Linked DNA regions of Oryctolagus cuniculus. The protein of the gene in region 1 interacts with the protein of each later gene in a pairwise test. Links are inferred from orthologs where the notes say so. Each region holds a gene or a part of one and is shown on either strand. Other genes may lie near its edges.

Region 1 (4,085 bases):
CTAATGGCTGGAAATCTGAGCTCAGTCAGAGTACAGCAGTGTTTTCCCCAGATTTAAGGAGCTCAAATAAACTTCCTTAAAAATCTGCCTCATGACCTTTTTTTTTTTCTTCTTTTGATTTCTCAGAGGCAGAGAAACAAGAGAGATAGAGCTCCTGTCCATTGGTTTACTTCCCAAAGGCCAGCAACAGCCAGGGCTGGATGGGTCCAAAGCTGGAAGGCAGGAACTTGATGCAGATCTTCCATGTGGGTGACAGGGCCGCATACTTGAGCCATTACCTGGTGCCTCCCAGAAACTGCATTAGCAAGGAGCTGGAATTGGGAACCAAAGCCAGGACTCAAACCCAGGTACTCTTGCGTGGGATACAGACATCTTGGCCAGTATCATAACCACCAGGCCAAACACTCCTGCCCTTGTGACTTTCTGAATTCATTAGCTACAGAGGGCCAGGTAGAGATGAGGGTGCTCACCTGAGGCTACACATGCTCCGTAGTGCCAACCCTCGCACCATCGGGTTAGGATCTGAGCAGTCTTTGCACAGTGTGTTGATGGCCAGGAGCGCCAGATCTGGTTTCAGGGGGGCATATGTGCACATGTACAGATAAACCAATTTCTTCTGAACAATATCTACAGTGGCACTGGCCTTCACCATTTCCATGAAAACACCAGACACGTCCAAGCCCTGTGTCATGTGCCTGAAACCAAGAGAACATGGCAGGAGGAAGGGAACTGCAAAATCCCCAACATACAAGACTATTCTCCTTATACATTCTCCAGCTAGTGCATGATCTCCTGGAAAGCGCACAGGTCTACACACAATACTTCACACCACGGGCCTGCAATAAACATCGTTCTATTCATTCAGCAAACTTACTAAATGCCTAGTCCATCCCAGTGAAATTCAGCTCTTACATTCCAGGAAAATACTCTAGGGACATACTCTTGGGGGGGGGGGGGGGGAATCATGATCTCAGGCCTCCAGAAACCCAAAGCCTATTAAGGAGGGAGACAAGAATAAACTAATTATAGTACCATAGCTAAGCTATTTAAACAAAAGTAACCTACAAGGTTCAGAGGGGACCCAGAGGTTCAACCCAGACAGGAAGCCAGAAAATGCTTCTCAGAGGAAGTAATACTTCGACTGAATGAGCAGGAGTTCGTGGCAGATGTGACAGAGAGGCGATGCTACAACGTGGGAAAGAAGGCTGCATTCTTTCGGAGTAGCTGAATCAGCAGGGTGGTCGCTGGGTGCTTACAGTAAGCTTGGACCTCATTCTGTAGATTACAGATTCTTGGGTTCCATCCCACTCTACTGAAATCAGAATCCATTGTTAGACAGGATGAAAAATACATATATATATATATTTTTTTTTTTTTTGATAGGCAGAGTGGACAGTGAGAGAGACAGAGAGAAAGGTCTTCCTTTTGCCATTGGTTCACCCTCCAATGGCCACCGCGGCCAGTGCGCTGCGGCCGGCGCACCGCGCTGATCCAATGGCAGGAGCCAGGTACTTCTCCTGGTCTCCCATGGGGTGCAGGGCCCAAGGACTTGGGCCATCCTCCACTGCACTCCCTGGCCACAGCAGAGAGCTGGCCTGGAAGAGGGGCAACCGGGACAGAATCCGGCGCCCCGACCAGGACTAGAACCCTGTGTGCCGGCACCGCAAGGTGGAGGATTAGCCTAGTGAGCCGCGCGCCGGCCAAAATACATATATTTTTAAAAAGGCATCCGAGGGGGCTTTTGTGCATAGTAAATTCTGTGAACCACAGCTGTAGGCATGAATTATGTGTTCAGATTTGTTACAGTGGAAACATTCTGACTTAAATGGGGCAAGGTGACCTACTAGTTAGCTATTGCAATTGGCTTTGGTAATGAAGGCCTGAACCAGAACACCAGCAGTGCCAATAAGAGAGAGAGACGCGGAGAGGCTGGATGTTTAGAACTGTGAGATCATCCCAGCTGACAAGAGAAGTGAGGCTCAGGTGCCAAGGTTGACTCATACAGACGGCCGGCTGGCGTCCCTCATTGACACAGACACAAGCGGAAGAGCAGGTTCGGGGCTGGGGGAAGGACCTTGGTGCTCTTTTGGGCAAACCTTTGATGAACTATCCTGGTGGAAATGCCAGGCAGGCAGTAGGACAAGGGCATCTGAAGCAACAAAAGGAGGTCTGTGCTAAACATTATCCCAGATCCGGAAGTCGGCGGTTCAGTGTGCCTGTTACAGCCTGAGCCCGGGGCTCTCCCACCAGCACGCTCCTGAGAAGCAGGAGGAAACCCCCACCGCACAACCGCCGCGGGTGACGGCGTGCACTCCTTCCCAGGGGCTGGGGGGCAGTGGGCGGTACCTAATCACTCGCTGGATGACGTTCCGGTAGCGCAGCCTATCAGCCTGAATGTGAGGGTTACACAGAGCCTTCTTCAGCTCCTTCACCACGTCCTCCGAGCCTAAGTAAGGCATCCTCGCCAACAGTCTCGGGCCACTTCCCACCGCGCCCCGGCAAAGCGTGGACGCCTTCAGGTCCTGATGCGGAGCCTGAACGAAGGAAACGTCGGTCAGGGAGAAGACACCCCACCCCACCCCGGAGCCGGAGCCCGAGTCCTGGGAGCCTCGCACCCTGGGGAGCTCCCTCCCTCCGCCCCGGGCCCTTCAGACCTCACCCCGCACCTGCAGGCCGATCGCTCCGCCTACAAATCACACCCGCTACCTCTAGGCCCCGCGTCCTATTTGCAACCCCGCCGCGGACAACCCCGCCCTCTCCAGTTCCAGCCTTTCTTGCCGGCTCCGATAGGCCCAATCGCGCTGTCGGCGGAAGTCCCGCCCCCTCGCGGAGGGCCCTCCTCTAGCAGTTGCCTCTCCCTGCGAGCGCCGAGCGCGGTGGCGATCCCGACCTTAGGGATGCCCTTCCCCCAACCTCTCACCTTTCAGCGCAGCCGCGAGGCTACCTCTGGTGGAGCTGCGGCGGGCCATCGGAAATCGGCTGCTTCGGCCTGTCTCCTCCCTGCAGCGCGCGCTTTGAGTGCTGGGGCCGGCCCTGGGCTCCCGCGCGGGAAGGAGTGGCTCTCTGTGCCGCGTCTTCCGCGGTTTGCGTCCTGGCTCCGACGGTGCCCACTCTAGCGCCTTCTCTACTGAGCTGACTTTTCCCTTAGGGCCCGTGGCCCAGTTCCTGCCCCAGCATGACGTCTGAGGCGCCGTGGTGGAAGCCTGGCGCTGGAACGCAGTTCCCAGGAAGACCCCACCGGTGACTCGAGCCCCGCCACCATGAACGGGGTCCTGATCCCGCACACGCCCATTGCTGTGGACTTCTGGAGCCTGCGCCGGGCTGGTAGCGCGCGGCTTTTCTTTTTATCCCACATGCACTCGGACCACACGGTCGGCCTGTCCAGCACCTGGGCCCGGCCCCTCTACTGCTCCCCAATCACTGCCCACCTCTTGCATCGTCAGCGACAGGTACGGGGCAGGGGACCGGAGTCGGCCTCCGCAGAGCTGGTCCTGGCGTCCGGGTGGGGAATTCTGACCTGTCACAGCCTTGGGAATCAGAGTGGGCCCCCCGGACGGCTGATTTTGACAAATGTGGAGTAGTTTGAATCCAGCCGAGCGTGGCTTCCAACTCACCGATTTGAGTATTTTAGTTGGGGAAACCTTTCAGCCCACCCACAGAAATTATCCCTACCTTTTCCCATAAACTAGGCCCATGTTTCCTAAACGTGTCTTATCTTAATCCACCTAGGCTGGGGAAATAGACATCGTCCAGCCCCCTCCCACGCCCCCCGATCTGATTCAGTAGGTTGGTGTGGATCCTAAAAATCTGGCTGGAATTTTTTTTTTTTAACAGTTGCCTCAAGGGATTATTAGGACCTGGAGAAAATCTGAGAATCCTTGACTGGATTGTTTTCTGAATGCTTGGAAGTTGTCTGAAGGGCAGGGTGGGGAACGGGAGGAGGATGGGTGGATGCTTGGGAATCCTCAGCCCGGCTTCTGCCCCAGGGTGACTCAGGATTCTGTCAGCTTTCCTTGGTTTGTATACGGGATAGTCCCAGGGATGCCCTGTTGCTCCCCCAGGTGTCCAAGAAGTGGATCCGAGCC
Region 2 (4,247 bases), on another chromosome or scaffold:
GGCGGCCGGTCCTCCTAGCGGCCTCCCTGTGGCGCCTTCCTGGCCTGAAAGCAAGCACAGGCGCCTGTTAGCAGGGGGGAGAGGCCCCCCGGCCCCCGCTCGCTCCCCAGTGCCCACGACAGCCGGGCCGGGTCTCCCTCAGGGGCCGTCCGCTGCCTTCCCGGGCTGCGCCAGGCTCAGCCCCCGCGCCCGGGGCCACGGTCAGGGCTGGGGGCCGGGGTCAGCGCTCCTGCTCGTCCGCGCAGGACGACGGAGCCAGGACGCCCACCATCTGCTGCCCCGTCTGCTTCAGGCTCTGGGCACCACCGCGCCCAGGCCCCTCCTCCTGACCCTGGACCCGGGGCTCGCAGGAGGCAGCCCAAAGCCCCTCCCGCAGGGTCACAGGCAGGAGGCCAGCGTCCTCGGAGTCCCTGTGAGACGCTGGGAAGACAGAGGCTGGCCGGGTCCGGCTGGGCAGTCCTGGTCAGCCCCGGCCGGCGGCAGAGCAAACAGGGCGCGTGACCTGCGCCTCGAGACGCCGGGGGTCTGGGGGCTGCTGCGGCTCCTGTCCTGAGACCCCGCCCTGGCTGGGCGCCGCGAGACCCCCACAGCCACAGCCCACCCACCGGATCCGCAGGGCGGGGCCAGAGCGCCTCTCCACACCCGGCTTCCCGGGCCGGGGTCTCCAGCAGCGGGGCCCCTGCGGTCCCAGCCCTGGGCACAGCGCCCGCCGGGTCCTCTCCGGCCCGCGGGGTCCCCGCAAACGGCGCCACGGCGACCACCACCTGCACCCCGAGCTGGGCCGCTCACGCCCGCGGTCAGAGGGGGCGGCGGGGCCCGCACGGGCAGCTGCGACCCAGGGCGGGGTCTTCGTGTCCGCCCCGCGGCCCCGCACACCCGCGCCCTGCCGACGCCAGAGCCCACAGGCGGCCACGGAGGAGCGGGGGGCCGCGTCCACCTACCGCGGCGGCAACGCAGCTCCGCAGGGCTTCGAACTCCCGCACGCACAGGTCCTTGCTCAGGCGGCCGCCCGGGGCCGTGGAGGCCTGCACGCAGCGGCCGTACGCGGCGGCCTGCGGAGAAAGGCGCTGTCATCCCTGCTCCAGCGCTGACCGCCGCTCGCCCTCCCGGCCTCCGCCCCGACCCGTCCAGGCTCCTCACCTCGGCCCCGCACGCTGCCAGGCGTTCAGGGAAGGCGCGGAGGCGGCTCCGCACGCGCCCCCACACTGCGCCGTTCGCCGACATGAGCGGCACCTGCTGACATCCACGGGCGCCGCCATCTTGGTCCGTCCTCTTCCGGCGTCCAACAGCTTGATAGGTTGGCGCCTCCACCCATTATGCTCCCTGCGAATCCTAATTGGCGTGGCTTCCCGGGCCTCGGGTCCTGTAATTGGCTGTTGTCCTCGTCTGTCCCGGTCCTGGACTTCGGATTGGTACAGGCTCAATTTGTTTACGAGGCCAGTCTCAGGACCCGCCCCCCACCAGCGATTGGTGGTAGGAGTCAGGCCCGCACGGTGATTGGAGGGCCCAGGGCCTGGCGGAAGCGGGGCAGGCCGGGCGGTGACCGCGACCATGGCGGCCGCCCCGCCGCTGCGGGACCGCCTGAGCTTCCTGCACCGGGTGAGCGACGCAGCCCCGCCCGGCCCCAGCCCTCTTGGCGAGCGCACGGGGCGAGCGGAGCCGCGCTCCGAGAGAGGGAGGACCGCGGGCGGCGGGCGGCGGGCAGTGCCCGAGGGACTGCGGCGCGAACCGCGGGCGGCGGGCGCTCCCCGATGGCTGCGTTCCAGGGCGTCCGGAGGGGCGGAGGGGGACGCGGCCGTCGCCCCCCAGCTGAGGCTCCGGGGGGAGACGCCGCCGCCGGCCGCCCCGGGCGCTCGCTGACCGCAGCCGCGGGGGCCGGGCCGGGGTCCCGGGGCCGCCCAGGAGGCCGGGCGCTCGGCCTCGGCTGCGGGCCAGCGCGCCCCGCGGTGACGGAGGGCTCTTGACCCCGCAGCTGCCGCTGCTTCTGAGGGGGACGTCGGACGACGCCGTGCCGTGCCCGGGCTACCTGTTCGAGGAGATCGCCAGTATCCTTCCGCGTCCCGGCGCGCCCGGGCGCCCTCGGACCCGGGGTGGGGGGCCCAGCGCTGGCCCTGGGTGACTGACCCCTGGGGGCGGCCGGCTCAGCCTGCTGCTTCCCTAACGCGTGCGCCCCAGAAATCTCGCACGAGTCCCTGGGCAGCAGCCAGTGCCTGCTGGAGTACCTGCTGAGCCGGCTGCACAGCTCCTCCGGCCACGTGAAGCTCAAGGTGCGGGCCGGCGTCCAGGAGGCCGGCGGGGCGGGGGGACGGACGGGGCCCTGGGGAGGCCGGCGGGGACGGGCGGGGCCCTGGGGAGGCCGGCAGGGACGGACGGGGCCCTGGGGAGGCCGGCGGGGTCGGAGAGTCCTGGGGAGGCCGGCGGGGACGGACGGGGCCCTGGGGAGGCCGGCGGGGTCGGAGAGTCCTGGGGTGGCCGGCGGGGTGGGGGATGGACGGGGCCCTGGGGAGGCCGGCGGGGTCGGAGGGTCCTGGGGAGGCCGGCGGGGTGGGGGGGCCTGGGGAGGCCGGCGGGGTCGGAGGGTCCTGGGGAGACCAGCGGGGTGGGGGGGCCCTGGGGAGGCCGGCGGGGACGGACGGGGCCCTGGGGAGGCCGGCGGTGGGCGGAGGGTCCTGGGGAGACCAGCGGGGTGGGGGGGCCCTGGGGAGGCCGGCGGGGTGGGGGGCCCTGGGGAGGCCGGCGGTGGGCGGAGGGGCAGACGGGGCCTGGCGGCCGCGAGGAGGGGGTCCTGTGCAGCCCACAGCCCGCGTGACTGCGCCCCGCCCCCAGGTGCTGAAGATCCTGCGCTACCTGTGTGGCCACGGCTCCTCCTCGTGCCTGCTCATCCTCCGGCGCAACTCGGCCTTCATCCAGGAAGCCACAGGTGTGGCCGCAGGCCGGTGCCCTGACTCGTGGCCGGCACACAGCCCGGGCGGGGGACGGGGCCGCGGGGCAGGTGCAGCCGTGCGGCGCTGGCCTGGGTGGTCCCCACGGCGGCCTCGGCGGCCCAAGGCGGGGACGGCGGCCCAAGGCGGGGACGCAGCACGCCCCGCGGGAGGGACAGCCCCTTCCCGGCCGTGGTGGCCGCTCCCGGCTCTGCCCGCAGGGAGCAGTCGGGGCTCCTGCTGCGGTGTCTGGCCGCGCGGGGTGTGGGGGCGCTAGGGAGGTCCCCTCGCTCACGCAGCCAGCAGGTGCGTCCCTGGGGGCGGGGCTGGCGCTGTGGGGGGGGGGTGGAGCCACCGGAGGCCTGCGTCCACTGTCTCGGCTGCCAGCTGCCCGCCCTGGGCTGAGCACAGATCCAGCCCGGGGAAGGGGGCAGGGGCAGAGCAGAGGGGTGACGGGCGAGATTCGGGTGCGCTGGGGGCACCTGCTGAGAGGGGCTCTCGGGCGGGGCAGAGGTGGGCGCAGGCCCTGTGGCCTGTGCAGGGGCCCCCGGCAGGGAGAGCTTGGGGGACCGCGTCCCTGGGAAGCTTCACTTGGGTGGGACTCCCTTCCTGTGGGTGCTGACGGTGACTCCGCTGGGAGCTGGCTTGGTGGTTGCCGTGGAGACGGACCCCCACCCTGGGGTGGGGCAGAGCGCTCCCCGGGGTCCCGGGGGTGGGGCGGTGGCCCCCGTGGGCGGAGCAGCCCCGCTCAGCCCCGCCCCCTCTGCCTCCGTCCTGCAGTCTTCGCGGGGCCCCCCGACCCTCTGCACGGGAACAGCTTGTACCAGAAGGTGCGGGCGGCTGCCCAGGTGAGCCCAGGACCAGCGCCGCTCGCGGGGCCCGGGGAGCCGATGGCCGCCAGGCGTCCACTGGGCGCTCCTGTTCCCTGCCGCCCAGGACCCCAGCTGTGCTCCGCGGCTGCAGCAGAGCCGAGTCCGGCTGGCGGTCAGAAGTGTCGGCTGGAGTGGCTGGGCCGGGGGCAGGCAGCAGGGGGCGGGGACGGAGGGGCGGGGGCGGGGACAGCAGGCAGCAGGGGGCGGGGACGGAGGGGCGGGGGCAGGCAGTGGAGGGCGGGGACAGCAGGCGGCAGGGGGCGGGGACGGAGGGGCGGGGTCAGGCAGCAGGGGGCGGGGTCAGGGGCGGGGGCGGGGACAAGCAGCAGGGGGCGGGGGCAGGGGGCGGGGACGGAGGGGTGGGGACAAGCAGCAGGGGGCGGGGACGAAGGGGCGGGGACAAGCAGCAGGGGGCGGGGACGGAGGGGCGGGGGCAGGCAGCAGGGGGCGGGGA
Region 3 (3,891 bases), on another chromosome or scaffold:
AACACAACAGCCGGCGTCTCTGTTGGACTCCAAGCCAGTTTCCCTCCAGCGCTCGGCCAGCTCTGCCCTGAGCGCCCCCTCCCGGCCCTGAGTGTGCTGGGGGGATGGTGGGTTTCTTGTCCAAAGGCCGGAGCTGCCCTGCGCAGACGTCTTCCTCTGGCGCCTGTTTTTAGAGGCTGCGCCTGCTAGCTTGCTCACGCACAGAAAACACTCCGTGACGAGAAGCGCTCACAGAATTATTTTAAGGAGCCCTAAGCTGTCTCCGGCTGGTGCCACTTCAACGCCGGGGCCCCTCTGAGTGGGGAGAGACAAGGCCTCCACTGCAGGCGCCACCCCCGCAATGCCTCGGGGTGAGCTCTCAGCGTCGCCTCCCCTCCTCAAGAGGGGCTCGCCCAGTAGCGTCGCCTCCCTTCCCCGCCCCCATCCAGGCACAGATCCAAGGCACGGTGCCCTGACAGCCCATGGCATCCATCTGGGGAGAATTAAAGGTGATTACGCAATCTGCAGCTAGCTCTTTAATTGGGAATGAGGGAGATAAAAATAAAATTTCCCTCTTGCTCATTTTTTAAAAACAAAAGCTCTCAACGATGATCTGATCTCACGGCTCCCTACGGGCCCCACGTCCTCCACAGCGCAGAATCTTCCAGGTCCTGTGCGTCACGAGCCCTCGCCTTCCTGGGGAGGGACGCTTAGCCGCCCAGCCCCCCCTGGGGACCTCCACCCCCCACCTTAGATGGGCCCCACCAGCCCTAGCGCCCCCATCGCCGCGGGGAGGGCTCAGGCTGCACTCAGAGCTCCCCCCGAGCGTGCCGGATGTAGTGCTGGTGCAGCCCTGCCTCCTGGGCAAAATCCTGGCCACACTCGGTGCAGGCGAAGGTGCGGGCCTCGTGCACCTGCCGGTGTCTCCGCAGAGAGCCGGCCTGCGCGAAGGCCTTGCCGCAGTCGGGACACGCGAAGCGGGCCTGCGCGGCGGCGGCGGCGGCGGGTGCACCTGCAGGGGGCGCTCGCGCGGCGGGGCCGTGGCTCCGCTGGTGGGCGATCAGGGCCTCGGAGGAGAGGAAGGCGCGGGCGCAGGTGAAGCAGACGAAGAGCGCCCCCTGCAGCTTCTGGGCCACGAAGTCGGCGGGGTGCTCCCGCTTCAGGTGGCGCTCCTGGAACTTGGAGTCGGCGAAGGTGATGAGGCAGCGGCTGCACTGCGGGGCCTCCAGGGGGCCTGCGCGAGGCGGAGAGGCGGGGGTCGCCCACCGGGGGTCTCCAGGCCTCCCCCAAGCCCCAGACCCACACCCACGACGCCCATGGCGGGCTGGACGGGACCGTTGAGGGCCTGCCTTATTATGGACGAGTGGACTCAGGCCCACCGAGGTCACCGGACCCGGAGGTGACCCCGAGAGTCGCGCTGCCCTCTGAGCCACGCTGCCCGGGACACTTCCTGGGCAGGTACGGGCGCTGGCCTGGCCGCGGGACCTCTCTGCCCCGGCTCTCACCCAAAGTCCTAGTGCCCACTTGGTGACGGAGTGAGGTCCCGGGGGTGAATGCATCCTGCCCGGGGGGCAGGGGCTGCTCCCCGTCAGCCTGCCTTGCTCCACTGGCCGGAGGCGGCCCCACGAAAGCCGTGCGCGGTGGGCAGCGGCAGCCGTGGGCCCAGGGGCACGGGGGCTCCAGTCTCGGGAAAAGTCAAGGGCAGGGCTGAGCTGAACCGTCCGCATCTCCCGCCGAGCCTCTCCTGCAAGCCACCCTGTCCCGGCTGCACCCTCCTCTCGCTTGTGCGGCCAGAGCAGGGCAGCTCAGGGGCCACCCCAGGCCCCGGACCCAGACACTGGACGGCGCCCCTGTACTCACAGATGCGGCCCCCCGGGCGGCCGGGACGCCTCTCGCTGGGCGACTCCTGCGGCTCCAAGGTCTCCTCAGGGTGCGGGTCCTCCATGGTGACCGCGGCCCCTCTGGTCAAGGGAGGAGCCCTTATGAGTGAGGAGTGAGGCCGCTCGGCTGTCCCCAGCCCTGGAGGGCCCGCCAATCCCACGACCTCCGCCATCGACAGAGCTGCTCCTCGCCCACCTTTGACCCCCCCCCCAAGATGTACCCATCTCCTTGAACTCTTTCTGATGGAGCCGTCCCCAGAGAAGCTCAAACCTAGAGGCTTGGACTCCCCGCGTCTGTGGCTCCCCTAAAGCCTGCTCGCTTGTGTGACCTGTGTTCCCGCTGCACCAAACCAACTCCCTGAACTCAGAGCGTGGGACCCTGGACTGCCATCAGCCTCAGCGGCACCCACCCCTTCAGCCTGCCTCTCCCCGGAAGACACGCTTCTCTGCCATCCTGGGGTGCTCCACCCAGAGTCCCCGCCGCCCGCACGCGCTGCCGGCCTCACTGTCCTGCAAGCACTGCCTTGGGCCCCCGGCTCCCCAGGCGGGTCGCCCCGGCCTCCGCTCCTCTCCGTACAGCAGAGGCTGCCTCGCGCTGTGCCTGTCACTGGCGCCCCACAGCGCCGCCACCCACAGGGAAGCGAGGTAGGGCCCGTGGCATTTCGGGGTTCCCGCAGCTTCCGAAGCTTCCGCCTGAGGTGCCTCTCGAAGCCGAGCCCGTAGTTGCCATCCGGCAGTAGTACAGTCGCCAACCCGGGCCTCCAAATAACGGGCAGTGGGGGAGCTCGGAGGTCCTTCCTTGCACTGCGACGCGTTATGATGACGTTGCGGCCGCCGTGCCGTACAAGCCGAAGCGCTACGCGCGAGTGCGCAGGCGCTGTGGCCCGCGCATTGTTAGGGGCGCTCGGGCAGTGCGGCCGTCCTGCGCAGGCGCCGCGAGGAAGGTCGAGTCTCTGCGGCCTGAGTGACGTCAGCGCAGGGCCTGGCGGACGCGTCCCGGCGCCCACGCCTCAGAGCCCAGCTCCGCAGGGGCGAGGCCGCCGCCAGCTGTGCTCACAGGTGCGTCGGCGCTCCCGGGCGGGTGATCCGGGAGGGAGGAGGGGTGAGGATAGAAAGGGGCAATGGCCGGAGAGGAGGCAGAGCGGGGGCCGGGGGGCCTGGGCGCTGGGAGGAGGGGCCCGGAGTCTGGGTGCCCCGTGACCGCGGCCGGCCGTCCCCCCTTGCCTTCCAGCCATGCCTCCGCCCAGGGGCGACGTGACCGCCCTGTTCCTGGGGCCCCCGGGGGCCGGCAAGTCCGCGCTCATCGGGGCGCTGTGCAGCAGTGTGGACCTGGTGGAAATCCCCGAGGGACGGCCGGACGCCGGCGTGCCCAGGCTGAGAGCCGCAGGCCCCGGGCTCTTCCTGGGCGAGCTGAGCTGCCCGCCCGCCGCGCCCGGGCCCTGGGCGGCCGAGGCCGACGTGCTGGTGCTGGTGCTGCCCGGAGCCGAGGGCAGTGGGGAGCCCTTGGCACCGGCGCTGGGCGAGGCGGCGCGGGCTGCCCTCGCCCGGGGAGCCCCGCTGCTGGCCGTGCGGGCGCTGCGTCCCGGGGCTTCGCAGAGTGACGCGCAGACGCGGGAGCAGACCGCTGCCCTGCTGGACCGCGCGGGGCTGGGGGCGGCCGCCCTGTTCGTGCTGCCTGCGGACTGGGCTGGCAGCGAGGACTGCGAGGAGCTGGAGCGCCTGTGGGGGGCGTTGCGGAGCCGGGCGGAGGCGCTGCAGAGGTGAGCGCCGGGTCTCAGGCTGGGCTGGGGAGGCCTGGGCCCCATTGTAGGTGTCCCACCCACCCCGTCACTGTGCCCTTTGAGGGTCGCAAGGCTCCTCCAGGCTCAGCCCCTCAGTGTGGGGGGGGAGGTCAGGAGGCTGCACCCCAAGTGAGCCCCCCGGGGCCAAGACCCCTGGAGGTCCTGACCCCCTCCCCAGTCACAAGCCCCCCTTCCTAGCGACAGTTCTGGGGGAGGTCAGATTTATCACCCAAACACTGCCCCCAGACCGG

What was found. The genes of interacting proteins can lie anywhere in the genome.
Region 2: the proteins of AP4B1 (region 1) and TEPSIN interact in binary tests that used the Homo sapiens proteins (3 or more experiments, as listed by UniProt). The link is inferred for Oryctolagus cuniculus from reciprocal best matches to the Homo sapiens genes AP4B1 and TEPSIN.
Region 3: the proteins of AP4B1 (region 1) and ZNF576 interact in binary tests that used the Homo sapiens proteins (3 or more experiments, as listed by UniProt). The two-hybrid records come from large-scale screens. The link is inferred for Oryctolagus cuniculus from reciprocal best matches to the Homo sapiens genes AP4B1 and ZNF576.

What each region holds. Positions count from the first base shown.
Region 1 is NC_091438.1:56,466,861-56,470,945, reverse strand, and holds the start of AP4B1 (AP-4 complex subunit beta-1), read right to left. Parts: upstream 2,801-4,085; 5' UTR 2,667-2,800; intron 2,535-2,666; 5' UTR 2,460-2,534; coding exon 2,347-2,459; intron 1,313-2,346; exon of another isoform or gene 1,066-1,312; intron 696-1,065; coding exon 471-695; intron 1-470. Other genes in the region: DCLRE1B (5' exonuclease Apollo), read left to right, coding at 3,261-3,449, 4,062-4,085.
Region 2 is NC_091448.1:1,342,181-1,346,427, forward strand, and holds the start of TEPSIN (AP-4 complex accessory subunit tepsin), read left to right. Parts: upstream 1-1,447; 5' UTR 1,448-1,551; coding exon 1,552-1,599; intron 1,600-1,972; coding exon 1,973-2,045; intron 2,046-2,175; coding exon 2,176-2,267; intron 2,268-2,826; coding exon 2,827-2,920; intron 2,921-3,701; coding exon 3,702-3,769; intron 3,770-4,247. Other genes in the region: NDUFAF8 (NADH dehydrogenase [ubiquinone] 1 alpha subcomplex assembly factor 8), read right to left, coding at 15-44, 942-1,052, 1,141-1,224. UniProt on the Homo sapiens protein: Associates with the adapter-like complex 4 (AP-4) and may therefore play a role in vesicular trafficking of proteins at the trans-Golgi network.
Region 3 is NC_091449.1:12,314,557-12,318,447, forward strand, and holds ZNF576 (zinc finger protein 576), read right to left. Parts: upstream 2,571-3,891; 5' UTR 2,437-2,570; exon of another isoform or gene 2,270-2,436; intron 1,941-2,269; 5' UTR 1,925-1,940; coding exon 1,840-1,924; intron 1,214-1,839; coding exon 789-1,213; 3' UTR 501-788; downstream 1-500. Other genes in the region: IRGQ (immunity-related GTPase family Q protein), read left to right, coding at 3,093-3,619. UniProt on the Homo sapiens protein: May be involved in transcriptional regulation.